4 linked regions of the Astyanax mexicanus genome follow. The protein of the gene in region 4 interacts with the protein of the main gene of each other region in a pairwise test. Links are inferred from orthologs where the notes say so. Each region holds a gene or a part of one and is shown on either strand. Other genes may lie near its edges. The genes, in order: rfx6, ncs1a, eif4enif1 and dtx2.

Region 1 (7,700 bases), about 52 Mb from region 4:
ACACATTTGCACATATACATACATGTATTTGTATTTTTGTACCTACTGGCTGGACTACTGCAACGCGTTGTTGGCTGGAAGTCCACATAAATTACTCCATAAACTCCAGCTAGTTCAGAATGCAGCCGCAAGAGTGCTTACCAGAGCTAGAAAGTTCGATCACATTACACCTATTCTTTCATCCCTACATTGGCTACCTGTTAGATTTCGTATAGATTATAAAATACTTCTCCTGACGTATAAATCCCTCAATGGTCTGGCCCCGCATTATCTACAGGAACTCCTTACTCCTTACAATCCGCCACGTTCACTCCGCTCCCAAGACGCTGGCCTGTTATTTGTCCCGCGTATTAGAAAAAACTATGCAGGAGGAAGAGCGTTCTTTTATAAAGCTCCCCAACTTTGGAATAGCCTCCCTATTAATATACGGGACTCAGACACACTCTCAATCTTTAAATCTAGACTCAAAACATTTCTATTTGCTCAAGCTTTTGAGTAATGTCTCATTACAATTTTCTTCCTCTTAAAGCTTATCCAGCAAATATAAACCCTGTCCTAATCATCTGCTTTCTCTTTCTCTCCCCATGTCCTGAGCTGCTGCTACCAGTGCCCATCCCACTCCAGCAGAGTTTTCTAAAACCATTCTAACCCCTTTTTCTTCCCTCCCCTCTCTGTTCTCTCTCTCTATCTTTCTCACATGTGCTGAGACGCCTGGCCGGCCGGTCTTCCTGGATGTGTCCGTCTGTGGTTCCAGCTTTCAGGAATCAGCCCTGTCCTTCTACTCATCAGAATTATTTCACAACCCTTCTAACTTCTGCTTTTTTTTCTCTTCCTTTCCTTTCTGTTTTCTCTATCTATCTCTTTTACATGTATGGAGATGCCCTGTTCCTGATGTTCCCAGCCTGGCTCTCCACTGCCTGCTGTGTTGTTCTCCGGCTCTGCAACCCTGCACTTATTACCATTAACACACTCAGTATCTGTTTCTGTATTAGCCATAGCTCTATAGTTTGTGCCCATCACATTCTTATATTCATAAATTAGTACCTGTTATATTAGCCATAGTTCACATTAATTCTCTGTACTGTTTTTGTTCTGTTATTTGTTTGTTGTTTGTTTGTACTGAGCGGGTCAACCCGAGTAGGATGGGTTCCTCGGACTGAGTCTTGGTTCCTTCCAAGGTTTCTTCCTCTTAAAGGGAGTTTTTCCTTGCCACTGTGTCACCATAAAATTGGCATCTCTGTGGTGCTGCTCATAAGAGGCGTGGACCTGTTTTTCCAGTAAAGCGGCTTTGTGACAACCTTTGTTGTAAAAAGCGCTATATAAATAAAATTGAATTGAATTGAATTGTCTTTGCACCCTGTTTTTGGCACTGCATCCTTGTACATCTTACCTATGCTGCACTAAAGACTAACAGTATTTTGTTGTACTGTACAAGCCTGTATTAGTACAATGACAAAGTTTAAAAAAAACAGTATGTTGTTGCCTTTTTAGCTTTATTTGGTGTAACAAATACAATAACCGTGCATATCTAAATAAGATTTTTTTGAACATTGACTCTACATTTGTGAACAGCAATGGAGTTCATGCAAAATCAAACGCTCACCTGTCCACTTGTTTCCAGTCCATCTCAACGCCATTTACATGCAAAGTCCTAATGAACCTCCTTGCAATTGACCAAACATCTGCACACACAAATATGGCTGTCACTGAAAAGCGAAGTGACATTACAGAAACCATGCCAAAATAAAAAGCAAATGATCGGCTAAAATATTATCTAAATGCTGATTGCATATTTCAGTAAAAGATGGCCAATACCCATAGACAACTGAATGTTGCACACTCTAGTCACATGAATTGACCAGGTCAAAATCAGTCTACACCAGTTAAAAACATGGAAAAATAACTGTTGGAATTAGACAGAGGAGATGGAAAATTGAGTGTTTTGACACTGAAACATATATGGACAAGCAGCTTAGTATTTGAGAGACTGACCATGTTTTCTACAGTTATATTTCGATGTAACATTTTAGGGCCATGAACTGAAAAAAAAATGAACCGCGAATTTTCTGTACCGTTACACCCCCTAGCTATTATGTGATCAATCGTGGATTTTTTTATTAATGCCAGTTTTAAAAAAAAGTTCTGGACAAATGGGACGACTGACCATAGACCACATAGCTAGGTTCATGGATCGGATTGAATTTGCAGCGTGTGGATCGCCAGCACTGTCAGCGATCTGATTAAGTGTTACTTCACATTTTAAGCAAATTGCAAGGCATTATAACCACGTTCCACCTAAATATATAATTATATGTACTTAACTATAGGCAATTAACAACAGAACAGCATTTCAGCTAATTTACCCGACGTTACCTAAGCAGCTAACGCTAGTTGTCCTAGCTAGGTTACTCAAGGTAACTGCCCTGCTAACCTGCCTCGTTTCTACAGACAAAGATTTCACTGGCTTGGTAACTAACCCAGCTAGTGTTACTACTTTTGGTCACCATAGTTTTTTAACGAATGCTAGATATAAAATCTATTTGCCTTATGTTAATCACCTGCATTGTTTATCGCCGTAGGAATTAACTAATCGATTTCTAGCTGTGCGCTTAACGTTACATTTCTGCCTTCTCTCTCCCTCTTTTTCTTCCTCTGAGTGAACATACTTAGCGTTACATGGCTTCTAATTAGTATTACCACCTTAAATTTCCGTCTATGACTGATTGTACCATTTAAGATGGAAGAGGAATTTTAGCTAGCTTGCTGTTGCTACATGGGTGGCTTCTTATTAACATTTCCACCTTAAATTTCCGCCTATTTACCATTTAAGGTGGACCCAGAAATGTAGTGAGGCCTATAAGGATGAACTATTTAAGGTGGAACTGAAACTATAGGTACCTAATTAGCTTTACGTTGCTAAATAAGAGGCAATTTTCTGAGGGAACAAACAGACAAATACTAACGGTGGTTTAATGTTTCATGTAGCTAGAGTAGTGTTAGTAACGTTGTTGGCTAGCAACAGTTGTGGCTTTTTTTGCTAGCTAACTAACTTAACTAACCTAACTTACTTATCCTACACAGCTAGCGTTAGCTCGGTTAACTTAGTTAGCTAACTAACTTAGCTAAGCAACCTCTAGAAAACTCACTGAAGTTCGCCAGCTATTAACTAGTAATACTACGTATGTTTGGCTTTAAGGTAACTTTTAAAGCACTCACAAGAACAGCTCAACTTTATTTGATGCATTTTTATACACTTCATGCTTTTTAACGCTGATTTCGTTTACCTTTAGTGTGAACGCGGATTTCTCCCTGCGTGTACACTGCAGCTCACTCCCCCTGAATGCGGCTGTAACGGTGCTGCGCGAGGACCACAAGGATGGCGCGAAAAAAGGGCAGTGTGCGGTGAAGTGTGATGAAGTAACGTTAACATAAATATCATATTTATAATACACGTTTTTAACAGTTTAACAGAAGCTCAATAATTGAAAATACTAAAAAAAAAAAGCTAAAAAAAAAACCTGAACTCCAACATTTACATTTGTGCCACTTTCAGGAGCACTAAAATGTATTAAACTGCTATTTTGGAAATATGGTTTGTTTTTCTATGTGAAAATCACTTAAACTAATAGATACTGGCAAGACTGTTAATAATGAACACCTTATGCCAGATAACCAGACATGTATAAAATACTAGACACATAGACTTGAGTGAAAGTACAAGAGCTCTGTCAAAAAAGTGTCTTGAGTAGAACTTAAGTGGTTGTACTAAAGAATTCAAGATTTTGGTACTTAAGTATTGCACTGGATCAACAGATTTACTATTTACAGTAATTGGAAAGTAAAATTATTTATTTTCTTACAAAGCACACTTATATTGTTAGAAGACAATGCGTTTGACATGTAGGATTAATTAAAAAAGCTTAATTAAAAATGCAAAGGATTGTTGGTTTAAAACTTGTATTGGCTAAGCTTCACTGTTGGGTCCCTGAGCAAGGTCCTTAACCCTTACTGCTACCTGGGTGCCCACGTGAAAGCTGCCCATTGACTTGCTGTGTGCATTCAATGCAAGGATGAATTTAAGGCAAAGGTAAGCATGATTGACTTCATCTGGAAAAAAAAATGAAAAGCAGCAGAAGCACACACGTAGGACAGGTCCTGTTAGTCTGTAACAGATTATTGTGTTAATATTTTGTGCACTGTCCTGCTAAATCTGCTCTATTCAGATTAGCATTTAGAGTACAGTTTATAGTTGAAGTGTGCCAAATGCAAGTAGCTAGTAAAAAAAAAAAAAAAAAAAAAAAAAATATATATATATATATATATATATATATATATATATATATATATATATATATATATATATATATATATATATATATAGGAATGTCTTCCTATGTACTGGATCTACTATAATTAAAAATAAAGTGGATTGTTTGCATTTTTAAATCCTTATAATGTAAAATAAAAAAGCAAACAGGACATCTCCTCGACTATTTATAACCCCATCCCCACGCCATATTCATTAACGGAAAAAGGCCATCATAGCAACATTAATGACAACATGTAATTTGAGTGGTGGGCCATTCTCAGCAAAACAATGATATCAACATGGCTTGGTAAAGTCATTCTCTTACCCTGTTTAGTAGTCTGTTTCTAATCACATATGATCTTTTTTGGTGGACTCTCAAGCTAGTGGTGACCCTTAAATGCAAAAAAAAAAAAAAAAAAACAGTAGAAGGGGATAAAATCAGTAACCACAAACATACAAAGTGCATCTATATGGTAAAAACTTTCAGATGAAAAAAAAAAAATAGTGCTAAGGATATAAGGATGTGCATGATCTTGCTGCCCTAGCCCTGCTGAAAGCAGGCACTGCAGAATGAAGGCTCTGGATGGGGCTATAGTCCAGTGGAAAGGCCACAGAACAGGTTTGATGGAGACGATGGCCCCTCGGGTTAATCATTAATACACAGAATCTACTGCCAGTCTTCTGTAAATAAGATAAATGCCCCCAAGGCACTCACCTCAGTGACGTACTATTTCAGACACAGCACAGCTTTAATTAAGACAGGAAGGTGTAACGTATTCCAGCGGCTTGATGTTTGGATGTGGACAAAATGATTCTTTCTAAATTTCAGTTTGAATATTAGTGTAAAGGATGTTTGTGTACACTGTTTCATTTTGGTGTTAGTGATTTTTTTTCTCCAGAACCTGAGATGTGCACCATTACAGTACTGGACCAATGCATCAAACTGGAGTCTCTTTTTTAAAGTGTTTATTGAAAATATCTGGAACGGAGGAAGACTGAGTGTGTCCACAGCTCATCTTTTTGAATGAACCTGGTAACATGCCAATGAAAAGGAATAGTGGAAGTTCTGTGGAGAATAACATGTTTCATCAGCTTCAGCCACCACAGCCAAAGAGGACTTACAGTAATGCTGATGATTTCCACCCAGCAAACTCCAGTGAGCAGCAAGACCTTAGAAAAAACATGTTTTTCAAAGAAACGTTTGAGGAAGAGGAGGAGGATTCAGGAATTAAATCAGGTTAGTATTATCTTTTTCATATTTTTAGATTGGTCAGGATTAGAGCTTTAATCGGATCACATATTAGAGGCATGTTTATTTGTCTAACAGCACCGTCCATACACAGTGGAATAGATCTTATTTTGTCAGTTATAAATATATAGAAAGTTTTTTTTCGACAGTTCATATGATATACATAATTGTGCCACAGTAAAATATTTTTTTTATGGTATTATATTTTATGGTGGATGATGGTAAATTAATAAATGTCTAATGCTGGAATTTGTTATGTTTGTAAATCTCAGGTACAATGTTTATAAAACAAGAGTTTATAAAAATGGCATTTAATGCATATTAAGCTATTTTTCCATAAAGACAGCAGTAAGGAAAGTTGTTTATGATAAAATAATTATTACATTTTCAAAGCAGTATTTTAAAAAATGGCATTGATTAACCAGACCATTGAAAGTATAGTGCAATCTTTGTTTATTCATTTATTTGACAGAGGCAGAGGAAAGCAATGGAACCATATCCTCTGAAGATGACTTAGACCACCTTGAATACTCAAAGAACATTGCTCTGAAGCAAAGTGTCGAAAAGAAAAGCATCAGTCAAATCATCAAAGACAAGAAGAAACAGACCCAACTAACATTATTGTGGTACTTATTTCATTATCCTTATCCAGTTACACCAAGTTAGTTTTATCAAGCAATACTCAATAATATTACATTGACTTTACCTCAATTTCCATAAACAACTTATGCCCTATTTTGTACTTTTTACATTTTCATGAATTAGGCTTGAGGAAAACTATATAGTTTGTGAAGGTGTGTGCTTGCCTCGCTGTATCCTCTACGCTCATTACCTGGACTTCTGTCGGAAGGAGAAGCTAGATCCTGCTTGTGCCGCCACTTTCGGCAAAGTAAGCAGTGTTCCTTCAAATAGTAGAAAAATGATTTTAAGATTTTGTACACTGCAAAAAACAAAAGAAAATTTACATTTATTATTATTTACTGATTGTTTACTTTCTTTATTACTGTAGACTATACGGCAGAAATTTCCACTACTTACAACCCGGAGGCTCGGCACCAGAGGCCATTCAAAGTAAGACAAAGACAGATCACAGAGAGTGAGAGTGATACAAAAATGACTTTTTAATTAATTTGCCAGATCACCAGTTTTAGTCATGAACAGTGTTTAAATGTATTTTTTTATTGTTCCAGGTATCACTACTACGGTATAGGGATTAAGGAGAGCAGCTCCTATTATCATTCAGTTTATTCAGGAAAAGGTCTTACCAGGTAATTTTAAAGCTTCAACCAACAATGCATTTCTGCTTGTTTTTGCTCAGATCAGGAGATTCTAGGATTTAGAATTTTAAATATGTAAATTAATGCTTTATAGAAAAGTATAATGTACTTTTAAAAAAATGTAATAATTGCTATTTTTACTTAATGACTCTTTTATGCATTGTAACAGATTCTCTGGGAGCAAGCTCAAAAATGAGGTTGGCATTTTTAATAGTTGATGTTATGTTTATTGTTACTTAAATATAATGAGGAATTAAATATGAAATATTGTTATTTCTGTTAGTTCCTCAAAACATGTCTTCTTTTGCTAAATCACAGGGGGGCTTCACACGGAAATATTCACTTAGCTCTAAAACAGGAACATTACTACCAGAATTTCCAAGTGCACAGCATTTAGTACTTGATGACTCTGTTTCAAAGGAAAAGGTTTGTTTGCTGTTGTTCTAATGAATAAAATAGTTTATTTGATGTGTTCATCCTGTATATTTGCCGTTTTAATTAAGTGCTACTTTCTTTGTTGATGCGTTTCTTGTTTAGGTGGACACTTTGATAATGATGTACAAAACCCACTGTCAGTGCATTCTCGACAATGCTATCAGTGTCAACTTTGAAGAGGTACGCTAAAATTTTAACACCTACAGAAACAGTTAACTTGAACTTACTGTAAACAAAATATTTTTAAAAGCTTAAAATTTTATTATTAAATATATTACAGATCCAGAACTTCTTGCTTCATTTTTGGCAAGGCATGCCTGATCATCTCCTGCCTCTGTTGGAGAACCCAGTAATCGTGGACATCTTTTGCGTGTGTGACTCCATACTTTACAAGGTGCGTGTAATATGTTTGTGTGTTGGGACACAGCCG
Region 2 (7,957 bases), about 10 Mb from region 4:
CCTAAACACTGCAGCTCCCCTGGGCTGTGTTTCTATTCTCTGTTGTAACACTGCCTCACCCATGACTGCGTGCAGATCACAGCAATCAAATCAGGAAATTTGCTGATAATGTAACAGCTGTAGCGCTTCAGCAATGATCAGACAGCCTAGAGAGAAGAGGTGAGAGAGCTGATGCAAGGACAACAGACTATCTCTGAATGTCAACAAGAAAAAGCGAGACAAGAGAGGGATGCAAATGCCACATAGCACTTTACTATTAAATATATATATTTCAATATTTTAATGTTGATGTCTTTTGATGTATACAGCATTTCCAATTGTTTGTGGACATTCATTCTAATGAATACATGCAGTTATTTTAAACTGCAACCACTGAGACACAAATGTGCAAATGGGCACATACACAGCTTGTCCAGTTACTATAGGACTATAGATAGTAAAACACTTATAGTGATCTATGGAATGATGGTGCTCTATGTAGTATTTTTGGGATGAGTTGGTGATGATGTGGCGTAGTCACACTCTTTATTTAGGATTCTTCTGACTTCATAGCATTTATTGTTCATTATTCACATCATTGCTCCAAATTCTAGTAGAAAGTCTTCCCAGAAAGCAGGATAATATACATGATAAACTTTTAAAACTCTTAAAGGCTTGGTTTTGTAAGAAGTATCCCAATGACTTCGTCTACATATTGTAGAAATGTTATGTGCTTTGAGTCAAAGAGATACAGTTGCCAAGATACAGTTGAACAAGCCTATTTACAATCTTGTTATTTTGCCTCAAAATAAAACATGCTGATTTTCCCTCACGATGGGTTCCTAAAAATGATTTGCTCTTATTTTTTTGGCTTATTTATGAACTCCCAGGAGCCAGTTGTTAGGTGTTGTACTTGGTAACAACTTAGTATTAGCCATGCTAGTTTTTTTAATGAACAACACAACAGTGTTTGAAGTTCACAGTATGTAACATCCATGTACTCAACTCTCATAATTAAACAGGTAAATGCAGTGACTCATTTGTTCTTTCATTTGTTTTTCGCTGCTGGTAATAAGTGTTTTGCTGTCACCAGTGGTGAGTAATTGCTGAATGTGAGAAATGTTATAAAGCTGAAAAAAATTCTGTGATTATGCAAATGTCAAAAGTGAGTAACCTGCAAGCAGGGAAGGTCTCACTGACACACTATTTGTGTCAAATCAGCTGCTGGACATGCTGGATACTAGAGGCAATTGGAACCTACTAAAAAAGTGTCATTTATGTAGATATGGCATTGAGTCACAGAGGATGTGTTTATGCTGTTATGCAGTATTATATTTGGAAAAAGCAATGAAAACTTTCTCTAGGATTTTTATTACCTGTTACCAGGGGTAACAGGTACGCTCACTTACAAAAAATAACACAACATGGATTGCTGCAAATCTCTGCATTCAGTAATGTCTCGTGCACAACAAGGCTAGACATGCCTCTTTTTTTGACCTTTTGCCCATTAACAGAAAGGGGCATGTCATTGGACTGAGAGAAGCATGATAGTCATTTCGACTAATTGCCCCCATTCAGACTGTCCATCAGTCAACCATTGTCAGCATAATTTGTAGTTTTTTTTTTATCAAGAAACAAAAACCCAGACAGCTACAGAATGGAAATATATAATCTTTAGTGATAAGTCCATATTTCCTTCTGGAAATTTAAGAGAGGAGGGGTTCAAGTGTTCAATTCTCTAAATGCTGTGGAGTGACACATTGCCCCAACTGCTGGTGTGATGATCTTGGGAGCCATTGCATATGACAGTCAGTCACCCCCAACTAGTGATATGAGGGACACTAACAGCTCAGTGATATGTGCTTTGAATCTTGTGGTCACATGTGTTGTCTCTCATGGTAGGGCTTCCAACTGACATTTTTTAGAAGGATAATGCTCACCCACACACAGCAAGGGTTTCATGGCAATGTCTCTGCCAGAATGCAACACTCCATTTTTTATAGTAAGTGTAATTTATGAATAGTAACAGTCCATTAATGATCCTTTAAGAAACCATTTTTGGTAACAGGTTTAGTGGACAGTCTATATTTACCAACAGTAACAAATTGCCATTTGCTTGTTAGGAATAGATGTTCTGTTTCTTAACCGCCAACAAAAAATAAAGTAATGGGAAGAATGTCTTAGCAACATATTATACAGAAGAGAATATTTTAATGTCCAATGTTTGTTCAAAACCTAAAGGCCTTTTAGATATTGTTTTCCAGGAGTATTGTACTAAAGGATGTCAAATTATATTGTATTGTTATGTCTGCTTATGACTTATTATTACCAATGTCCTGTCAGTGTGACCTTTATGAAGTTTTCAGTGACACATTCGGGGCATGCTGTAGAGGCGATTGGATGATAGGGTAAAAGGAAAAAACTTCCATTGGAGGGAAAAGGGGACATATCAGGAGATGCAGCCTACTTTTAAAGTGGCCTGAGCAAGATCTATTCTAATCTAGGGTAGCCATAGTCTGCCAACTCAATATGGTGTGTTCTCTTAGGGAATGGGGGGAGTGGGGGTGGGGGGTATGGAGTGACACAGCAGGTGATGCTGCTGGCAAAAGACTGCAGGCTGCTTCTGGGGCAGCATGGCGCTAACTCAGCACTATCCATCACTGCTTCACTTTTTCTGCCCCTTTTTTAAAGCATCTCCCTTTTGTAAGCAAAGTCTCTGTCTGCCTTAGTCTTTCTTTCAGTGACTATCGTATGCTTTTTGTCTGTCCATCTCTGTCTTTTTCCTTTCTGCTTATCTATCCTTCTATCTCTATGCATCTCTGTCTTTTTTCTCTCTATTGCATCCCATGGGAAACAAAATGATCCAATTTTGTTTTCTAGTGTAGACCCCACAAATTTCACAGGATTATCTAAGAGGTAAACAGACAGTTGAAATATGAATGCAGTCATGCTTAAAGGAAGTGGTACTGGTACATACTGGCAGATATGTTTTATAAATGATGAGACTGGTCACTGATTGAAATATAATTAAGATTTTCTAGAGTATGTTTACAGAGTTTACAAGTCCCAACTTTTAACACAAAAAGCCAATTTGCTATAGGAACTGGGTAGCTGCCCACTTTTAACACTGGTCATTGCCAACAATATATGTAACCCTCACCGATAAGTGCTCATCAAACAGTGTGATCAGGCTACGTCAGGATGTTCATGCTGGTGGACCAGTATGTTCTTGCTGATCATATTGGTAAACCAGCATGATCAGGCCGGTCATGCTTGTCAATCAGCGTAATCATGATGGTCATGATCATGCAACTTCCTTGGTAATGCATGTCAACCAGTGGTCATACTAATTGACCAGTGTGTTCAGCTCTGGTCCTGCTGGATAACAAACATGTTATCATGATGACAGTTCTAATTAAGAGTCAACCAACCAACCAGTCAACCAACGTAGTAGTCAAGCTGGTTATATTGGTTAATTATGGCCTACCAATGTGGTCTTGTCATTCTGGTCTTCTCATGTTGGTCATGCAAATACCTTGTTAATGCTCATCAACCAGTGTGTTCAGCCTGGCTATGCAGAGGTCCCACATGTCACAGAAGTCTTCCGCATTTTAATTGGAAATTGTATACAACATCCTGAAAATCATTAGTGTGGACAAACACAGTAAGAAAGTGACAAATAAAACACTCTCTTCATACTTAGTCGACCAAAAAATTTGACTTAAGTGGCAGGGCTTTGCTGATTCAGTTAACACGCACAGGAGAGATAGACATAAACACAGTGCAGCACTATAAAAATAAATAAATCTGTGGTCAGAGCAAAGGTGGTCAGCCTTGAGCAGGTCAGGCTTTCTTTTTTATTATCGTTGTTTTGTAACAGATTTTTTTAAGTTTTAATCTTTACTTGAGGAATTTAAATGACCACAAGTTCAATTCATGTTTACCTCATATTAATACATTTTAGAGATTGTTTTAATGTTAAACTTGTTTTAGTTGTATTATTAATAGTATACAGCTCTGAAAAAAAATAAGACACTTAAAAAGGATGAGTTTTTTTTATTTTACCTGAAAATACAATCAAGAGAAAGATGGATGATCACAAGCCATCAAACCAAGCTGAACTGCTTGAATTTCTGCACCAGGAGTGGCATGAAGTTATCCAAAAGACTGATGAAGGAGAACATACCAAGATGCATGAAAACTGTGATTAAAAAACAGGGTTATTCCACCAAATACTGATATTGATTTCTGAACTTTTTACTTTATGAATATGAACTTGTTTTTCTTTGCATTATTTGAGGTCTGAAATCTCTGCATCTTTTTTGTTTTTTTCAGCCATTTCTCATTTTCTGCAAATGAATGCTCTAAATGACAATATTTTTGGGGGGAATTTGAGAGAAATGTTGTCTGTAGTTTATAGAATAAAACACTAACGTTCATTTTACCCACAGAGAAACTGATTCAGAAACTGAATCACTTCTTCTCTGACCACTGAGAAGTGGTCTCTTAATTTTTTCCAGAGATGTATATACTATTATTTTAAAATGTAAAATTATGGTCAGAGAAAGGGGGCGCGGCTTAACGAGCGAGGGCGGGGTCTGTGTTGTCAGGGACGACGGTGCCAACACAACGCGTGGCGTTCAGTCATACCCACCAGCACCCTCCCACACACACACGCTCTGTCTCTCTTTCATTCACACACACACACACACACACACACACACACACACACACACACACATTCTCCCTCGCACACACAGACCCCTTTGCTCAGCCAGTGTTTGGCCTCACAGCGGACCGAGGTTTCCCCGGCTCCAGCGGGCAGGACCCCCGGACAGGAGCGCGTTCCGCGGGCTCGGGCTGTGACTCCGCCGCTGCTGGAGGACTTGAGGAGAGGCGAAGGGAAATAAGGGACAGGAGCGGAGAGATTACGGGCTTTCCCGCTCTCTTTTCCTCCAGCCTGGGGGAAGAGAACCGCGTTTAACCCCGCATTTCTCTCTCAGTCCTTCTTCCTTTCGCTGTTTTCACTCCTTTTTTTCCTTCTCTTTTTCGTTTTCCGCGCTAAATGTGAGCGGGAAAAGAGTGGCAGTGGGGGCGGGGGACACATTCGGGGAGAACCGGGAGGAGAGATGGGCAAATCCAACAGCAAACTCAAGCCTGAGGTGGTGGAGGAGCTGACCAGAAAGACCTACTGTGAGTACTGCCCTGGCACGCATGGGCAAGAAGTCACACACACACACACACACACACACACACACACACACACACACACACACACACACACACACTTACATACTTACAGTCAATTGGCTTGTTATGGGTCATGCTCTGTATTTCTATATATTCTGAATGCATTTCAATTTATTTTATTGTGTAAATCTGATGACGAAGTAACGTGTAACATGTTAATTGAGGTATTGGTTAAGTGAGGTGTATGTTAAGTGGGCTACAGATTAACTGAGGTAAATGTTAATTACATTTTATGTTGAGTAAAGTACATATTAAGTGAGGTCTATGTTAAATGAGGTTACTGCAAATTCTCTGTTAAATGAAGTCTAGCTTAAATGAGGTAATTATGTGTATTTTAAGTGAGGTATGTTTTAAGTGATGCATAGGTTAGGTGAGATTTACACTGCCAGGCCAAAAAGTCTCCACCTGGATGTAAGTAAGTAAATGATGTGGGGTTGTTGCTGCAGTTGGTCAGGTCTAGGTTCAGCAACAGTATGTGCTGAAAGAATAAGGCCAGCTGACTACCTGAATATACTGAATATAGAGCAGGTTATTCCATCAATGGATTTGTTCTTCCCTGATGGCACGAGCATATTCCAAGATGACAATGTCAGAATTTATGGGGCTGGAATTGTGAACGAGTGCTTAAGGGAGCATGAGATCATCATTTTTACACGGTCAGACTCTACCATCATCAATGCAAGAACTTGGTGAAAAATTAATTCAACACTGCATTGAGATCTTGTGACAATGCAGAAGTTTATCAAAATCTCATAGTGAATGTGTGCAGCAATCAAAGCTAAAGGTGGTCCAACCAAATATTAGAGTGTGTGACCTTTATTTTGGTAGTGGCTTTTTTTTTGGTCAGGCAGTGTATTTTAGATGAGGAACTGTTTAAATGAGGTGCGTGTTACGTGGGCTAAAGGTTGAGGTAAATGTTAATTAAATTGTGTATTAAGTGAGGTATATATTAAGTAAGGTGTATGGTAAGTGAGGTACAGGTTAACTGAGGTAAATGTAAGTGAGGTACAGATTAAGTGAGACATAAGTTAAGTGAGGTGCATGTTAAGGGAGGTGCACGTTAAGTGATGTACAGATTAATGAGGTATATGTTCAGTGAGGTATATGTTCAGTGATGTGCATGTTAAGTGAGGTAAATATTAAACAATGTGTATGTTGAGTCAAGTACAGTTCAAATGAGGTATATGTTAAGTGCGGTATGGTAAGGTAAAGATTAAGTGAGGTGCATGTGAAGTGCTGTACATGTTAAGTGAGATAAATATTAATTGATGTATGAGTCATGTACAGATCAAGTGAGGTAAATATTAAATGCTGTGTATGTTGAGTCGTGCAGTTCAAGTGAGGTACATGTTAAGTGAGATATGGATTAAGTAAAATATGAATTAGGTGAAATATAAGTAACCTGTAGTACAGATTAAGTGAGGTAAATGTTAAGAGAATTGTTCAATAATTTAAATGTTTTTTAAGCCTGCGCACACTACTAATTGATTGTAATAATAGCCAACAAAATGACATATCCAGGGCATGCTTGCATCCTTCCTTGTTACATTAGAACAGAAAAATAAGATAATAAGATTGTTAGTTTTTTCCAAATAAACATTAGTTTGTAGAGTGCCTGAAACCATTCTTTGGTTGCCTTTCTGACATTTTCACATATTAAGGATGCCTTCATTGAATTCGCTCTTTTGAGGCATGACTATCTCTCCTTGAGAAAATGCTGCTTTTCCACTACTGAGCTCTGTGTTGTGCTGCAGTTCTCCTCCATGACAGAGAAAACCAATAGCCCAACATCACAGTGGATCACAGAGAGACGCACTTCGATTGGGTTAAATGATTCAAGTGAGATTAGACTGCCAGGGCTTGATAATGGGTAATGATCCAGCAATGGAACAGGTGGAAACAGTACACAGCTGGAGGACATAAAGCAAATGTGCCAATTGATTTGACAATTGCCTTTTCTGCAGGGAACAGGGTTTTAACCAGATTGTGTTAAGGCCTGTTCACTGTTTCCACAAAACAAATCAGCAAAACTCAGAAAGTCAGCATAAGGAGTGTCTGATAAACAGCAGAAGAAGAAAAAAGTCTAAACTTAATAAAAATTGTAGACATTTTAGAGTCTAGTGAGAGCCTAGCATGTGTTTGATTAACATAGAAGATTAAAGAATTACGGTAGATACTAAATATACAAAAATATACTTGTATTTTCAGTTGGCATGGAGTGATTCCAATATATTTCTGATACGTAAAGGCACATGAAGTGACCAAATATAAAAGGGGTAATTGACACATTTACAGATTAAGAAATAGTTCAAAAAAACACTTATATGCACACTGTGCACTTTTTTTTGTTTATATCAGTGTATTGTAGTGCGTCAGATGATTGGTCTGGCATAGGAAGTAACAAGCCTGTATTCTGGCAAGGCAAGCAAGTACAACACACTTTACTTATCAAAAACCATGGACAAGCCTCCTAACACTACATTCTGTCACTCTGGATAAGAACATCAGCCAAATGCCATAAATACAGATACAGAAAGGAAAGTTTTTGAGACTGGTGTCTTAGCTACAAGCCCTCCAATGTGGCTTTAACTTTAATAAACAGTGGCAATAGCCATGCATGTCAAAATGGAGTTTAATAGAGTTTTAAACACACCTTGTTGCTTATGTTAGCCATGATGTCAGCACAGCCTCTACAGTACATCTTAACTATTTCAAAGGGGCATGACTG
Region 3 (7,675 bases), on a different chromosome or scaffold from region 4:
ATGGTTTAAAAATATAAAATAATTTCTAAACAAACGAAATATTTAATATTGAGCTTATAGCCCAAGTGCAAAAATACAAAATCAGTAATATGCCCTGCACAATCCTTTAACCGAAATAGACCAAGTACAGTTTACAATGACTGTCCTCTAATATAATTAACAATGTTTAAGAATATAAAATACTTCCTGAACAAACGTTTTTTTTGTTTGTTTTTTTAAGCAAATAGCCTAAGTGTGAAAACACAAACAGCAATTTACTGGGCTGGCTTGCGCAGCGGAGAAACCGTGCAGCAGCAGCCTCCTAGCCTGCTTACGCAGCGGATAAGCCGCGGTGTGGGGCAGCAGAAATTCCGGGATGAAAACACAAAGAAATCTGGGCTAAAAACACAGAAAAAATATGGGGTGAAAACACAAAAATCCGGGATAAAAACACCAAAAATCCGGGGTGAATATGTCTCGTCGGTCAGAGCAAATTGAACATTTTTCAGTGGATTAAAGGGGCCGTGATTTGCTTTTTTTTTATTTTATTTTTTTTACCTCTTTTTTAAAAACGAATATTCGAATATTCGCTTTGAATCAGTGCCGAATATCCGGAGCTCAAAAAACGCTATTCGGGCCAGCCCTAGTCACAATATAATTATATAATCAGTTGTGCAGCTTTCACAATAGTGCAGCATAAAGTACTGAACCTGGCTTGTGATGTAGTGACTCTTCCAAATGTCTTCTGGATCCAGAGGCGAAGAAACTTTCGTGCAAGGTGTCTAAATAAAAAGCATAAAGAATTATTAGTTTACCATAGCCGATCACTCATCTATAAAAATACAAATAATTATATCGGTATGTAAGCACACATTCTCATTCAATGTTTTAGATCAATATTAAAGACATGGACACTATTAAGGAACACAAATAGAATTAAGTAGTAAATAATAGAGTTTGTCCTCCACAATCCCATGATCAAAACCTCATCAACTGAGATGGTGATTTTGGATGAGCTGGAGCTTCACAGCGTGAAGGAAAAGCAGCAACTATTGTTTAGCACCTCCAAGAACTTCTTCAAAACACTGAGAAAACTATTCCAGGTGACTCTCCCTCACGAAGACACTGAGAATATACATACTATATGCTTATAGTGTGCAAATCTGCAATCAAATCTGAACGTGGTACTTAAAAAATCTTAAGTATAAAAACTATTCTGTTTTTTATTAACACTTTTGTTTACAAAATAATTATGCATGTGTTTTATAAAATGTATATTAAAAGAAAATGGAATAGTGTTACAATAACATAAATGTGAACATATATTTTTTTCTGTTTTTTACTTGCATTTAGTACTTGTAAAACACAAGTTTGGTTGCATGTAGGGGTTTATGAGTGGTGTCTAACCGTATCCTGAGCTCTTTAAGTCGTCCACCTCTATTCCATGTGTATCCCACCCGGTATGTGATCTTTCTGATGGAAGTGTGCTGCCTCTGCTTCTTCCCAAAAGAACCTGGTTTCCCAGATTGTTGTCCTGTTGTGTGCATAATCCCTGGTTTTAAAAAGAAAAACACAAAGATCCTAAACAATATTAATTACAATATAACCATATTTAAGTAATATATCAAAACTCAACGCTCCTAAAGTGTCCTTATTCACTCATTTGACATGAATTACATTCTTTCAGCTTTAACAACAAGAAATCATAAACTTTGTTATATACAGTCATGTTCTATAGGTTACAGCAGTTGACTAGTTAGCTAGCTAGTTAACTGTTACCTTAACTAGGTTAACTAACCTACCTTGTCCTACAACCACTGTACAACTGCAGCTGAGCGATTTGTGAAGATTTCGCATTTAAATTACAGCGTAAATCGGATGTAAATAACTGTGTGTAGTTTACTTATATATTTGATAACTATTTTGTATACAGAACTAACAGACACCCATTCTCACCTCTGAGTTACTCATCAACAACAAACTGTAACTGCCGCGTAGAAACAACTTCCGCTGGTGGATTTCAAAGTAAAAGCGCTGCTGAGCTTATTTCAATACGTTATAAATCTATATTACTCCAATAAAATTAACCTTAGTTCTATTTTTTATAAATATAATATAAAACAATGATAAGTAAATTAAGCAGCCCACTCGGTTTTTTTTTTACTATGATAAAAAGAGATCATTTGACTATAAATATTTTAAGGTTGAAACCCATATGTGACCTAAATGGCACAACTAAAATTTAATTACCTGTATTTTAATATTTTGTCGTATATGTCGTGCCATAAATAATTATATGGAATATAAAACATTTTATTCAATATTTTAAAAGGTTAAATTGTTGGAACAACGCTGCTGAAGCTAAAAACACTAACACTTTTACAGGGAGTGAGTTTTATCTCCAGAACTAACCCAACACTTCTACAGTCTGTAAATAAAGTCACATGATCACACATTAACACACGCTGTCCTGTAGTGATGCTCTCAGGATGTTCAGTATATGTCACTTATGGACGTCATAGTTTTTTTTGTTTTAATTATTATGTTAATAATAATACTACTACTACAAACAATAATATTAATATAGCAACATAATAATGTTATTGTTGTTATTATTATTATTATTATTATTATTATTATTATTATTATTATTATTATTATTATTATTATTATTATTACTGTTGTTGTTGTCAGAAATAAAAATAAAGAACTCTACAAAAAGAGGAGCGCTGATTAAAAATAGGAGGCCAGTCTATTGCCTGACAAATATTAGATGTCCCACTCTGGGGCTGCACTTACCAATTATTGCGAGGTAAAGTTATATCTAATATATAAAAGTGTTTAATTGACTTCAATTAATAAAAAAATATTCAAAAACAAGATGTGTGTGTATTTTCTATTGTAACGAAGGCGGCAGTGGTCACTATATAATCCTTGATTGGGGCTTCAATCAGAGCCTGTAGTGATCTGGAGAAATTCGCCGCTGAACGTCGGGAGCCCCGACACACACAGAGTGTGTATGTATGCGTGTGAGAGTTTATCAGCTATAAACTACACAGAGCTTATCGGAGTCGCGGTTAGTCTGTTCCGCGGCTTTTAACTCATTATTCTGAGAGAAACCGCCGCGGACTGTCTGTGTTTTTTTAAGCGCTTTAAGTCGTTTTTTGTTGAGCAGTGAGTGGAAAATCATTTAGCGAAGTTAGCTAGCATATTAGCTGGATTAGCCCACTAGCTTTGTGCTGTTTTTTTTCGAAAGCTTCCGAGCAAAGATACCAAACCGGGAAAGCTATTGAGAAAGATAACTTAGCTAGCCTAGTTAGGTTGTAGCTGTTTCAACTAATGTTAGCTATGCAGGCAGTTATGTGCTAGAAGGACAGGTTAATACTTTAATACTGTGTCGATACTTGGATACTTGGAACGCTAGCTAACTGACGGTGTCCATTTGTTGAGCGTTTAGCCAACTTGGCTGGGAGCTCCTGTAGCTACTAACGCAGCGCTAGGCTGCTAAACGCTGTTTTCTAACGCTAAACCTAGATAGCCCGGTATCGTAAAAGAAACATTTTATGTTTCTCTTATCGTTTATATTAACCAGCTAACTGAAGATACAACCCGTCTAATTGCCTAAAACAATCCAGCTAGCTCGACAGCCCGTTTAAAAGTTAGATAGATAGCTTAGTTAGCTAGCTAGTTAGCTAGCTAACGCTAGCTAGCTAGCTAACTGTAGCATCCGAGGAGGAAGGGAGAAGCCTGGGTATATTTTTCTAAGTACAGGTAAGTTGAATAACTCGAGTAAAAGTCAATAAACTAGTGAAATATTCTTTGTTTCTGTTTGGTGTCAAATCCAAGCTAACTAACCTGGTACATTTGCTCGTTTTAATATATGTTAGCTAATTGTTGATGGCTAGCTACTAGCTGATTTCTGGACGGTGAAACACAGGTGCTTGTGTCGATTTATTTAACGCTATATATTTTATGTAGCAACCTTTTAACGTGAATACATATACAGAAGAGATTTTAGTCGCAATAACGTTATATTGTATAAGTATTTGACAGTTACGCACAAGCTATTGATTAGCTAACGCCAGCTAATTAAGTGTTATAGTTAGCTAACTACATTATTCTGGCCTGGCCTTCACAGGAAAGTAACTTAATTGTAATTCTGAAACATTTTTATCTGTGACCCTAATAAAGTATTTAACACTGGTACTCAATACTTTAAACTCAGAAAACCACATTCGCATTATTAGGAACATTATTGGCTACCTCAGTTTCGCGTAGACCCGCTGTTCACACGTCACTGTTCCAGTTCTCTTTTGTTTAATGAAGATACTAACTGTACCCGTATGGTGATCAGATTTGGTGGTAGCTGCCGTTTCTAAATTATATCTTGTTTAAGATTTTCTTTCTCTCCTCTTTGTCATAACTGACTAATGCCCATTGTTTTTTAGTAGGTGTTTGGACTGTCTAAAGAAGCTATACTCTGGTTTGGCTTCTTGCTTCAGTCATGGAGAAAGATGCCTGTATAGAGGATCAGGAAAATGGCAATATCACTGGGCACACAGTGAAGGATTCTGTAGTAACCTCTGCCTACCGATACACCAAGGTCAGGATTATAGTATGCTGCTTAATCTCCAGTTGTGTCTAGGGCTGCACAATATTTGGTGGGGGGAAAAATATAACTTTTTTTTCTGTTGCAATATGTGTCTTCCAGGAATTTAGGAATTTTCACCATAATAAATGATGCTCTCTGATAGAAATAGAGCTGTTATTGAAAAAGAGATGCACAAGTTTTTTTATTGTGCAGCCCTAGTTTTGTCCAGTTATACATGCAACATGTATTCTGTTACATAAGTAATGCAAGTTTAAGAGTCTAATAGTCTAAAATGCTGGTATTTATTATGTAACTAGGGGTCAGCTATTGGAACATTATTGCAATACATGTTGTATAATAAATAATATTGTAACATTTATTTTTGAAAAATTATTACTATTACTAAAACTATTATTAAATATTATTATAAAACTATTATTAATTCCTAAATAAGATTTATTTTATCATTTTTTTTAACAGGAAGAGCTGTTGGAAATCAAAGAGTTACCAATCTCTAACGAAAGACCAGAGTGTCTATCGGAGAAATATGACAGGTAATCTTTTATGTGATCTTGGTACAGTGAGGAATTTAGTTATATTTTCACACATTAAAATCTATTAATCAACTTATTTAGTGTTTCTTTGATTCCTGTGTATACAATGCTTAGTTTCCAGATTATTCTGAAATGAGTGGCTAATCTAAAGTACTAATTTGTTGTTTAATTCTATAGCGATGGTGTGTGGGATCCTGAAAAGTGGCATGCTTCACTGTACCCGTCAGAGCGAAACTCCCCAGTAGATGGATACAAGAGAGACTTTGCTGAAGATAGGGTGTCTTTGAAACGCAGAATTGCAGGTAATTTTTCCACTATGGGACTGCTGCACTCTTACTAATCTGAATATTAATGACATTTCTTTAAGGATAAACTTTAATGTTAAACTTATGTTTTATATGAATCTTTCCTTCTAGACCCAAGGGAGCGTTTAAAAGAGGATGATTTGGAGGTGGTTCTTAGTCCACAGCGCCGTAGTTTTGGAGGTGGCTGCCAAGTGGCACCTACCTCTTTGGTCCGGCGTCCTGTCAGCCCTCTGGAGAACAAGGAGAACGAGTCACTCCGTTTGGGTGGTACACGACGTATTGGAAGTGGCCGCATTATGGCGACACGTGGGTTTGAGAGGGACTCGCGGGTGGACAAGGAACGAGAGAGGGAACGAGACTTTAAGGACAAGAGATTTAGGGTATTAAATTTAGTTTCAAGTACTAAGGCTTTTTCAGTGACTAGGCGTTTTAAAGTAACAAGTGGCTAATTTTAGTGCAAAGATTGTGGGTGGCTGCTTATACAGTGCATCTGGAAAGTATTCACAGCGCTTCACTTTTTTCACATTTTGTTATGTTGCAGCCTTATTCCAAATTGTTTTATATTAATCTCTTAATTCAAAAATCTACAAAAATACCCCATTATGGCCATGTAAAAAAGTTTTCTTGAGATTTATGAAAAATTTATCACATTTACGTAAGTATTCACAGCCTTCGCCATGAAGCTCAAAATTGAGCTCAGGTGCATTGTTTCCACTGATCATCCTTGAGATGTTTCTACAGCTTAAATGGAGTCCACCTGTGGTAAATCCAGTTGATTGGACATGATTTGGAAAGGCACACACCTGTCTATATAAGGTCACACAGTTGACTGCATGTCAGAGCGCAAACACCAAGCATGAAGTCAAAGGAATTGTCTGTAGACCTCTGCGACAAAATTGTCTCGAGGCACAAATCTGGGGAAGGATACAGAAACATTTCTGCTGCTTTGAAGGTCCCAATGAGCAAAGTGGTCTCCATCATTCGTAAATGGAAGAAGTTTGGAACCACCAGGACTCCTTCCTAGAGCTGGCCGGCCGTCTAAATTGAGTGATCGGGGGAGAAGGGCCTTGGTCAGGGATGTGACCAAGAACCCGATGGTCACTCTGTCAGAGCTCCAGCATTCCTCTGTGGAGAGAGGGGAACCTTGCAGAAGGACAACCATCTCTGCAGCAATCTACCAATCAGGCCTGTATGGCAGAGTGGCCAGGCGAAAGCCACTCCTTAGCAGTGTTGGGAGTAACGGCGCTAAAACTAACGCCGTTACTTTTTTTCAGTAACGAGTAATCTAACTAATTACTCTGACTGTAACTATAACGCCGTTACCATTTCCGACACCCCGTTACTGCACGTTACTTTAGCCACACTTTTTTTTTACTTCGCTTTGCCCTGGTTAACCCCTCCTCTGTCCGGTGAACTTGAGCTTCTGGCCGCTGTGCCTGTGGTTTGGCGTGGTGAAGTGAGGCACAATTGTGACAATTTGCGTGCTCTAATTAATTCAGTGATTGCCTTGGACAGCCCAAGTTCCGAATTAAGGACGTTAAACTCTTTTTAGCTGCTCCGGTTTTTGTGGTGCTGCTGCTTTCTCTTTTAGAGAAAGCTCCTATTGGCTCCTATTTTTTATTTTATATAAAGCTCTGATGTGATAATCACAATGTTGCTAAGTAACCAATTATTATTGTTCACTACAGCGAACGAAATGGCGAAAACTGAAAGTGAAAAAAACATTTGTGTTAACTGAATCTAATAAAAAGGTAATTAAAAGGAAAAAACATAACTATCTCGAACTGTATTTTGTGTTTATAAAACTAACTAAAACGAACTGAAATTACAGATAGAATACCCTCATTTTCGTGTTTAATTTATTTATAAGCGCTGTTGTACAGCGGAGTTGTACAGCGGGCGGTGTTGTGCCGAGCGCGCGGCACCTCGTGGTCCTTTAGTTCTTGTGTAAAGCGCTCTCGCTAGCAAGCCCACCCTAAAAACTTACTGAACAGAAAAAATAAAAACAAAATAAAATTAAACTATAATAATAATGAAAAATGTAATCACGTAGCTCTGGGCGCACGTGAACGCCTCCGCGTTTGACTTTCAGCATTGTGTGTAGCTGTTCTTAAAAAACATTTAAATTAAATAATAGTTCTATGCTTTTATGTTAGTGTTAATTAACATAATTCTGATTATATTTCGCTCATTCAATCAGCCCAAAAACAGACAGTTTATGGGGCGGATCGGGTCCGGCTCATAAT
Region 4 (7,504 bases):
GATATCCACTTCAGGAACCCCAACACCTATGACATAGTTCGATTAGAGAAGATCCTTCAGGCTCGAGATGACATCACCATCAATATCAAAACCCCATTACAGTAAGTCAGCAATTGTTTAAGCTATTTGGATAATGTTTAGAAGCAAGGATTATGTGGGCAATAGCAATATTATATCATGATCCATACAAAAAAAATTCTGATGCACAATTCAATTTAAGATTTTTATTCTAAATGTGCTGCATTTCATGTGATCTTCATAGTGCAATATGTAGTTTTTCAGTGTTTGTATGTAAAGATGCAATATACCAAAAAATTTATTATTTATACAGTTAATATTAAAATAATTATATCATAATGATATCGTCCCTAATTCAGACTTCTGACTGAGAGACAGCTAGAAGGGACTGGGTTGGGTAACAAGTCCTCCACACTGCTATAAAGTTTCATACTAATGTTTTGCCATATGATCATGATCACTTTGTATAAAAACAATAAATATACAAATATAACATAAAAACAACTACATTTACATTTAATTCAATTGGTTTTGGTTTGGCCAGTAGTTTGAACAGAAATACTCTACATATTATGTTTTATGAATAGGTTAATTTCTAAAAAATAAATTAAAGGAATAACTTTATCAACAATGGTTATATTTGTTTTTTATTGATTGTTTTTTTTTTTATTATTATTAAAAGTGTATTGAAAGGTGTCCTTAATTATGTTTTTGTCGTTCATTTTAAACAGTTGCCAAACATTTGGGAAAATCATCTGTTTTTGCTACTACACTATACAGTACTTATTGGACTAAGCTGCTTTAATGTCTTGTTTAGGTGAAAGCATGTGTGTAGTACATTTGATACATTTCATACATCTAAAAAAAAACTTTTTTCTGTTTAGGCCTTTTGTACAGCTTTGTCCCCAGACCAGCAATACAGGTAGGTTTACCTTACTTGATTTGATTATTTATCAAATATTGGAATCCCTCCTGTATACAGCCTTGTTTGTTTTTGGATGCACCTAGTCAAATTGCATGTAATTATTATTTTTCTTTACAAATGTAATTGTTCACTTAACAGATTCTCTATAGATCCTATTTATATCTCTATCCTTTTTGTTTTCACTTCAAAAATCAACAAACCATTGCACAAAACTTTAAATTCATGCTATGTTATTTTGCTCATTTTCCTGCAGAAGGGAAGGAAGTGTCAGTCAATAGACGTAAACGCAAGCGGGTCCTGGAAAGCAGTCAAGCGACCGCTCCCTCAGGAGCCGACCCTGCTGCTCCAGCCAACCAGATTCCAGTGATGGTATGGAAAACAGCCAGTAAACAGCCCTGCTTGTACCAGAATATTTAATTCTACATTATAAGTCAGTGATGTTAGTAGTTCACCCACCAGATTTTCTCCATCACCTTCCTTCAAAGAGTTACATGCTCTAAGTATCAGTAACATTTTATTTTTTATATTATTATTATTATTGTACCTGTAGTTCCACACAATCAGTATAACACCTTATAGGTGAAACTACATGATTGGATCAAAAATATGCATAGCATTTAGTGCTATTTATTGCAAAGCAGCTAGCTACTTCTGTATATGGACAGAATTAACAAGTAAGCTTGGCTTGAGTACAATGGCACAGGTAAGATCATTGTGCTGGCTAATTTCAGCCCTCTAAATAAAATGTTTAACATAAAATGTTGATGTATATGGATTTATTTATTCATTAATTATATGAAACTAGTTAGATTTTTGTTTAAGTGTCTGATACTCTGTTGTTCTCTTCCTGTAGCAATGGCCCATGTACATGGTGGACTACAGCGGAGTGAATGTCCAAGTTCCAGGAAAGGTAAAATACTAGTGGACCACCTCAAAGCCCCTCAGAAGAGGAAGAGGAATCCTGCGGGGAGGACGTGGTCAGACTGATATCCGTTATAAAAATCAGCTGTTTTTGGAGTGCTGTGGTTGATCTCGCAGTGTGACGGGGGACCTTTGTGTATGCTGGCAATCACAAACTCTTTGAGCGTGACGACAAACAGTACAAGGAGTTTCTCATTACAGTTTCAGGACGGCAAGTGCTGAGACGTGAATTTGCTGTGCAGTAACCTGGAATCGTTACTTCCCAGTTTGTCAGTGCTTTATTTTTCTGGAGAGGCTGCTTGTAAAAGGAGTGTTTTCATTTTGTTTTATTTTTATTTTATTTTTTTATGTTTGGTGAACAATGCTTTGCATCATACACTGGCAGTCATAAGCAAATGCTCAGTTACACATAAGAGCTTATAATATTTGTCTGTTACAACACATTTAAAAAATCTGGAAAAAAGAAATTCTAAAACATTTCTATATATGAGGAACATATCGTTTTAACGCTTGAATAAGGTGAATAACTTGCTGGCAGGAAATTCCATTTATATGTGGGGTTGAGCGACGTGTGTGAGCGTGCATTTTTATTGGAAAATTGTGGGTGAATATTGATTTTCCCTGTTTTAGGTTAGCAATGTAAACCTCATAGTTCCAGTTCTAAACTAAAGAAGCACAACTGGGCTACCAAGCATTTTGTGGTTTAACAAGATTCAGATCAGTTGTAAAGGAGATTTTTTGTTTAAGTATTACTTTAAGTGAGAGAAGTGATAGATCCCCTGAAACACATGGAAACACATCAAAAACCATTATCAAGCTCATTTGAGCTATTCAAAGTGACTGCCAGTGTAGGGTTGCCTTCTTTTTAAAGGCCTTTGAAACAATAATGGTTGACTGACACCCACACTGAGGACACAAGTGATGGATTCTGTTGGGAAACATTATTCCCAGACAAGATTCATTATCCATAGGATGCAAAACCTCGACTGGTGCTGAGGACGTACACATGCGTACTACTCTCGTAGTAACTGGTTCTTATGCCTAGCTAAATGTTTGTATTATTATTTATTTATTTATTTAAATAAAAGTAAAGAAACATGTATATGCAGGGAATGTAAACAAATCGGCACAATGCATCAAGTGCTGAATGCCATGACTGATAACACTAAAACAGTTAGCTACTGATATATTCCGTTTTTTATTTTATTTTTTTTCTTCTTCTTCTTCTTCTTCTTTTCGCTTCAGGGGTTCATGGTCCTACAGTGGAGCATCCTAACACAATAGCACTAACTTATATTCCAATGAAAGACTTTATCATTATTGTAGTGGTGTAAGTCGCTCCGACGTTCATAGAACGTGGAGGACAAGTAAGATAAAATTTGATGGAGACAACATCATGAATGTATTGTATGTAAAGGAAAGAATGGTATAATGTTATTCTGTAAGGACTGTCTCTGGAATTACCAGTATTTATATGCTGTACCTTAATGCCATTTAGGCCTTTCAAATAAAATGTGTTGCCTTGCGTTCATTACTTTTGAGTGTTGTAGTGCTTTCATGGTTCGATGGTATAATACAAGCTACGCTTTATTTATTTAACAGATTTGTTTTTGCCTCTCAGTGCTTAAAATATTTACTTTAATTTAAGGTCATTTTAAGGATTATGGTAAACTGCAGATATACTCATGCATTTGTATTTGCATCCTGTCCATTAAAATCATTCATCTGTCTCCACCTGCTGGTTAAGACTAAGAAACACATGAAAGAACATTCTGTACATTCTCTACACAAAGTACTGTATCAAACTAGAGACTACTTCAGCTAAAAAGACATAAAAAAAGATATAGTTTACAAATGTTTATCATCTATCTGTAGAATTATCTGTCATCTAGAAAACAGACTTGGTAGCAAAACACTCCAAGCTGCTGTACATCTGAGATAAAGTTAACATAAGTTATATAGCTATATGTTGGATTTTTTTTTCTTTTTTAAATAACACTGTTTCTAGATTTGTAGGACCATTATTTGATTCGATTTAATTTATTTTACATTTAATAAATGCAAATGTGATGAGTATTTTTTTGTCAGACACAAAAACTGTCAGGATAATGTTTCAAAATAAAAGTCTTGCAGCGTTTGAATTGAGAAACCAAAATGTAAAAATCTGATAGTTTTTGTTATTAATAGATATTTTGATACATTTATTTAATCTTGATTTATTTATAGCTTTAATAGAAGCTGAACATGAGTGCCTTTAAAAATATTATATAAACAAACTGACTCTTAATTGTATTAACGCTCTACTTTCTTAGCTACAATATTTTTCAAAGCTCAAATAACGGACTCATACATTTATACTCATTCATACAGCTTTACACTAAATAGCTCAATGCATCAAACAAATACTGGACACGTAGTAACAGGTAACTGTTTTACGGGTTAAGCTGAATTCCATCCAGTTTACTGTGTCGTTTTCTGTGATGAGAGCAGTGGAGGGGACCCTGCGGTTGGCTGGTGGTTTTGGTTTCCGTTGGTTTGTTGTGTTTGGTCGCTGGACTCTGCACAGAGACGGCAGGGCGAGCAGCCGGATGGGTGAGAGGGGGGCTTCGTTCAGTGGAAGAATTAAGGCGTTTTAGAAGACGATAAAGACGACACTACCAGAGACAAGGACGTGGTTTGTTTTACTGCATCCTGGCTTAGCTTAGTTTTAACCGTTTATTCGCTGTTCGGCCTCCTGGAGCTTTAAAAATGGCTTAGCGTTAGCTTCACAACATCGGAGCCGTAGTAACGAGCTGTAAGCTAGACAGCCGAAGCTAGACAGATAGCTATGCTAGCTAAGTAGCTAGCTATCAGCTGGCGGATGAAGATGCAGACTCGCACGACTCGTTTCAGCTTAAGTTAAATAGCTAGGGTTAATTTAAGTTATTTGTTTGTAGCTCGCTAAGCTAGTTGTTGGTTTTGCTTAGCAACCGGACGAACGAGCCCGGTTTTAGTTAGGCAGTTAGCGGTAGCTAGGTTATCAGTTCAATTCGTCGAACTTGGTAGCTAGCTAGCTAGTTAGCTTAGCTTGTACGCCAGTCAGCCCCTATGGAGAGACTTAATACGTTTGGTTGACAAGTATTTACTAGCTACCTAACCAACAGCAGCAGCAGTTTATGTAATTAGTTAGTTAACCTAGTTTAACAGTTAGTCAATGTACTGCTTAGCTGTAGTTTATGCTAGCTTGCTATCGCAGGGATTAGCTAGCAAGTGACACTAACATTTGTGTGTGTGTTTTCAGTTAACTAACTAGCTAACCTAGCTAGTTAGCTCAGAGGCAGCAGTCTATGTAGCTTAGCTTAGTTAGTTAGCTGGCTAGCTAGGTTACCCTAGTGCAGTTTAGGCTAGCTCGCTGTCGCTGGGGTTAGTTATCTAGCTAGCAAGTGACACCACCATTTGTGTATGTGTGTGTGTTTCAGCTAACCTAGCTATTAAGTTAACTAAATAAATAAGTACGCCGAGGTCCTCCTAGCAAGCCAGGTTAGCTAACTAACTAACTAACTAACTAGGATGGCCACGGCTTCTGGCTTTTCTGCCTCCGGCGTGAATGGCTCCAGGAACGGGCCGTCGCTCTTCTCCTCCTCCTCCACCGCCTCGGCCTCTGGTATACCCGGCCAGGCGCAGCCCATGGTGGTGGTGTGGGAATGGCAGGACGACCTAGGTTATTGGCGGCCTTACAGTGGCCAGGTGAGCTGCTACATCGAGCAATGCCTTCAGCAGCAGCGGGGGGCCAGGGCAGGTGGGCCCGCCGCCACTAGCATCTCCCTAGGCCAGACCGACCCCAGCCTGGCAGCCTATATCATCGACATCCCGAGCCTAAAACAGTTTCGGCAAGACACTGGTAAGTCAGGAGCTCGCAAACATACAATGTGGTTCTGTGTGTTTGTGTTGTCATGTTTGTTAATTTAAACTAGTGGTCCCCAACTCTAAGACTTTGGAGAACGTCTAAAGCAGTGTTTCTTTACCACTGGTCCTTGAGACCCACTGCCCTGTTTATTTTACTGGTTCACTGGTTCATCGGCTTTAACAAGCCACGTTTAACTCAATAATAGGTTTCTACTAAGCTCACTTGTTGGATCAGGTGTTGGGTGGCTAAAGACTATTTTTCCCCTGTCTTGCAAACTACAGCTCTGGACAAATAAGAGACCACTTAAAATGACAAGTTCTTTGATTTTACCAAATTGAAAACCTCTGAAATATAATCAAGAGGAAGATGGATGATCACAAGCCATCAAACCAAGCTGAACTGCTTGTATTTTTGCACCAGTGGCATAAGGTTATCCAAAAGCAGTGTGTAAGACAGGTCTAGGAGAACATACCAAGATGCATCAAACTGCAAATAAAAAAAATAAATTCCATCAAATATAGATTTTTGAACTCTTAAAACTGGTTTCTTTGCATTGTTTGAGGTATCTTTTTTTGTTATTTCAGCCATGTCTCATGTCCCATGTCTGCAAATAAATGCTCTAAATGACAATATTTTTATTTGGAATTTGGGAGAAATATTGTCCGTAGTTTATAGAATAAAACAACAATGTTCATTTTACTCAAACATATACCTATAAATAGCAAACTGAGAAACTTATTCAGAAAATGAAGTGGTCTCTTAATTTCTTTCCAGAGCTGTATAACAAAATCAATATTAAAGTTGTGGTAAGATGAAGGTTAAAGGGCTTAAAATCATTATTGATGATGGTTCTCAGGCTTGGTCATGGGACCGCTGTTCTGCACATTTTAGTTATTTACCCTTGTGGGGAGTGTGTTAACCACTACCTCATATAATCACACATACATCATGCAAAAGACTATGCTGTTCATTAAACACTGTAACATAGACTATTAGTAACGGTTACATTTTTCCTTGTCTTTTATCCATATTGTTTCCACTGCCATCAAGAATTTGCTGACTAACAGGGTTGATACATTTATCTGTTGGCTCATCACTGTTTCTTGTACACCACTGAATGTTTAACAAAAATCTATAAGTAGTGCTTCATAACTCTCTCAAGACTTAAGAAGTTTGTTTCAAGTTTGTTTATTGGATGCAGCATGTATGGCAGGTGACAATTGTTATTGTCTAGTAAAATTAGTCCAATTTAGTCTATTTAAAGTAATAATGAGCAAATTATATGTTGCTAAGTGTCAAGTTTTTAAACATAAAAAATGCTAATGCATTGAAATGTAATGTAAAGTTCAATCTCAGCTGAGGTTATTGTTAGGTATTTTCAAACGATACCATTACTTCAACTCAGTTAAATTAGGGAGTGTGTTGTAATTTCCATTCACTTAAATAAATGTCTAATGCTTAATCTTATTTAGTTTATTTGTGATATCTCTGTTTTTTCTGACTTGTAACTATTACATTCCAGCTCAAAGAATTATAAAAAAAAAACATATGTACTTTAGTTATTATTTCACAAACATTGATATTATGTCAGTACTTATGTCTTCTTTTCCCTGATATTAATATTATTATAGTGACCGTTAAGACCCTCAAAAAGAAACTGAGCTAATACACATCAGAAATCACAATGCTGAATTTTCCATGAAGTCTTTAATAATTTTCCTTTCCATTAAATCTGTGAGTCTGGTGCCCCAGTC

The links.
Region 1: the proteins of dtx2 (region 4) and rfx6 interact in binary tests that used the Homo sapiens proteins (3 or more experiments, as listed by UniProt). The two-hybrid records come from large-scale screens. The link is inferred for Astyanax mexicanus from reciprocal best matches to the Homo sapiens genes DTX2 and RFX6.
Region 2: the proteins of dtx2 (region 4) and ncs1a interact in binary tests that used the Homo sapiens proteins (3 or more experiments, as listed by UniProt). The two-hybrid records come from large-scale screens. The link is inferred for Astyanax mexicanus from reciprocal best matches to the Homo sapiens genes DTX2 and NCS1.
Region 3: the proteins of dtx2 (region 4) and eif4enif1 interact in binary tests that used the Homo sapiens proteins (3 or more experiments, as listed by UniProt). The two-hybrid records come from large-scale screens. The link is inferred for Astyanax mexicanus from reciprocal best matches to the Homo sapiens genes DTX2 and EIF4ENIF1.

What each region holds. Positions count from the first base shown.
Region 1 is NC_064408.1:80,253,593-80,261,292, forward strand, and holds the start of rfx6 (DNA-binding protein RFX6), read left to right. Parts: upstream 1-4,451; 5' UTR 4,452-5,347; coding exon 5,348-5,546; intron 5,547-6,030; coding exon 6,031-6,184; intron 6,185-6,323; coding exon 6,324-6,447; intron 6,448-6,567; coding exon 6,568-6,629; intron 6,630-6,748; coding exon 6,749-6,826; intron 6,827-7,004; coding exon 7,005-7,032; intron 7,033-7,153; coding exon 7,154-7,261; intron 7,262-7,372; coding exon 7,373-7,450; intron 7,451-7,550; coding exon 7,551-7,664; intron 7,665-7,700. Other genes in the region: tdrd15 (tudor domain-containing protein 15), read right to left, coding at 1,604-1,626. UniProt on the Homo sapiens protein: Transcription factor required to direct islet cell differentiation during endocrine pancreas development. Specifically required for the differentiation of 4 of the 5 islet cell types and for the production of insulin.
Region 2 is NC_064408.1:17,896,430-17,904,386, forward strand, and holds the start of ncs1a (neuronal calcium sensor 1a), read left to right. Parts: upstream 1-4,595; 5' UTR 4,596-5,108; coding exon 5,109-5,172; intron 5,173-7,957. UniProt on the Homo sapiens protein: Neuronal calcium sensor, regulator of G protein-coupled receptor phosphorylation in a calcium dependent manner. Directly regulates GRK1 (RHOK), but not GRK2 to GRK5. Can substitute for calmodulin. Stimulates PI4KB kinase activity.
Region 3 is NC_064412.1:16,242,920-16,250,594, reverse strand, and holds the start of eif4enif1 (eukaryotic translation initiation factor 4E transporter), read left to right. Parts: upstream 1-4,449; 5' UTR 4,450-4,483; coding exon 4,484-4,582; intron 4,583-5,050; coding exon 5,051-5,124; intron 5,125-5,301; coding exon 5,302-5,426; intron 5,427-5,540; coding exon 5,541-5,809; intron 5,810-7,675. UniProt on the Homo sapiens protein: EIF4E-binding protein that regulates translation and stability of mRNAs in processing bodies (P-bodies). Plays a key role in P-bodies to coordinate the storage of translationally inactive mRNAs in the cytoplasm and prevent their degradation.
Region 4 is NC_064408.1:27,943,131-27,950,634, forward strand, and holds the start of dtx2 (probable E3 ubiquitin-protein ligase DTX2), read left to right. Parts: upstream 1-4,195; 5' UTR 4,196-5,413; coding exon 5,414-5,744; intron 5,745-7,504. Other genes in the region: gtf2ird1 (general transcription factor II-I repeat domain-containing protein 1), read left to right, coding at 1-101, 903-940, 1,197-1,312, 1,797-1,865. UniProt on the Homo sapiens protein: Regulator of Notch signaling, a signaling pathway involved in cell-cell communications that regulates a broad spectrum of cell-fate determinations.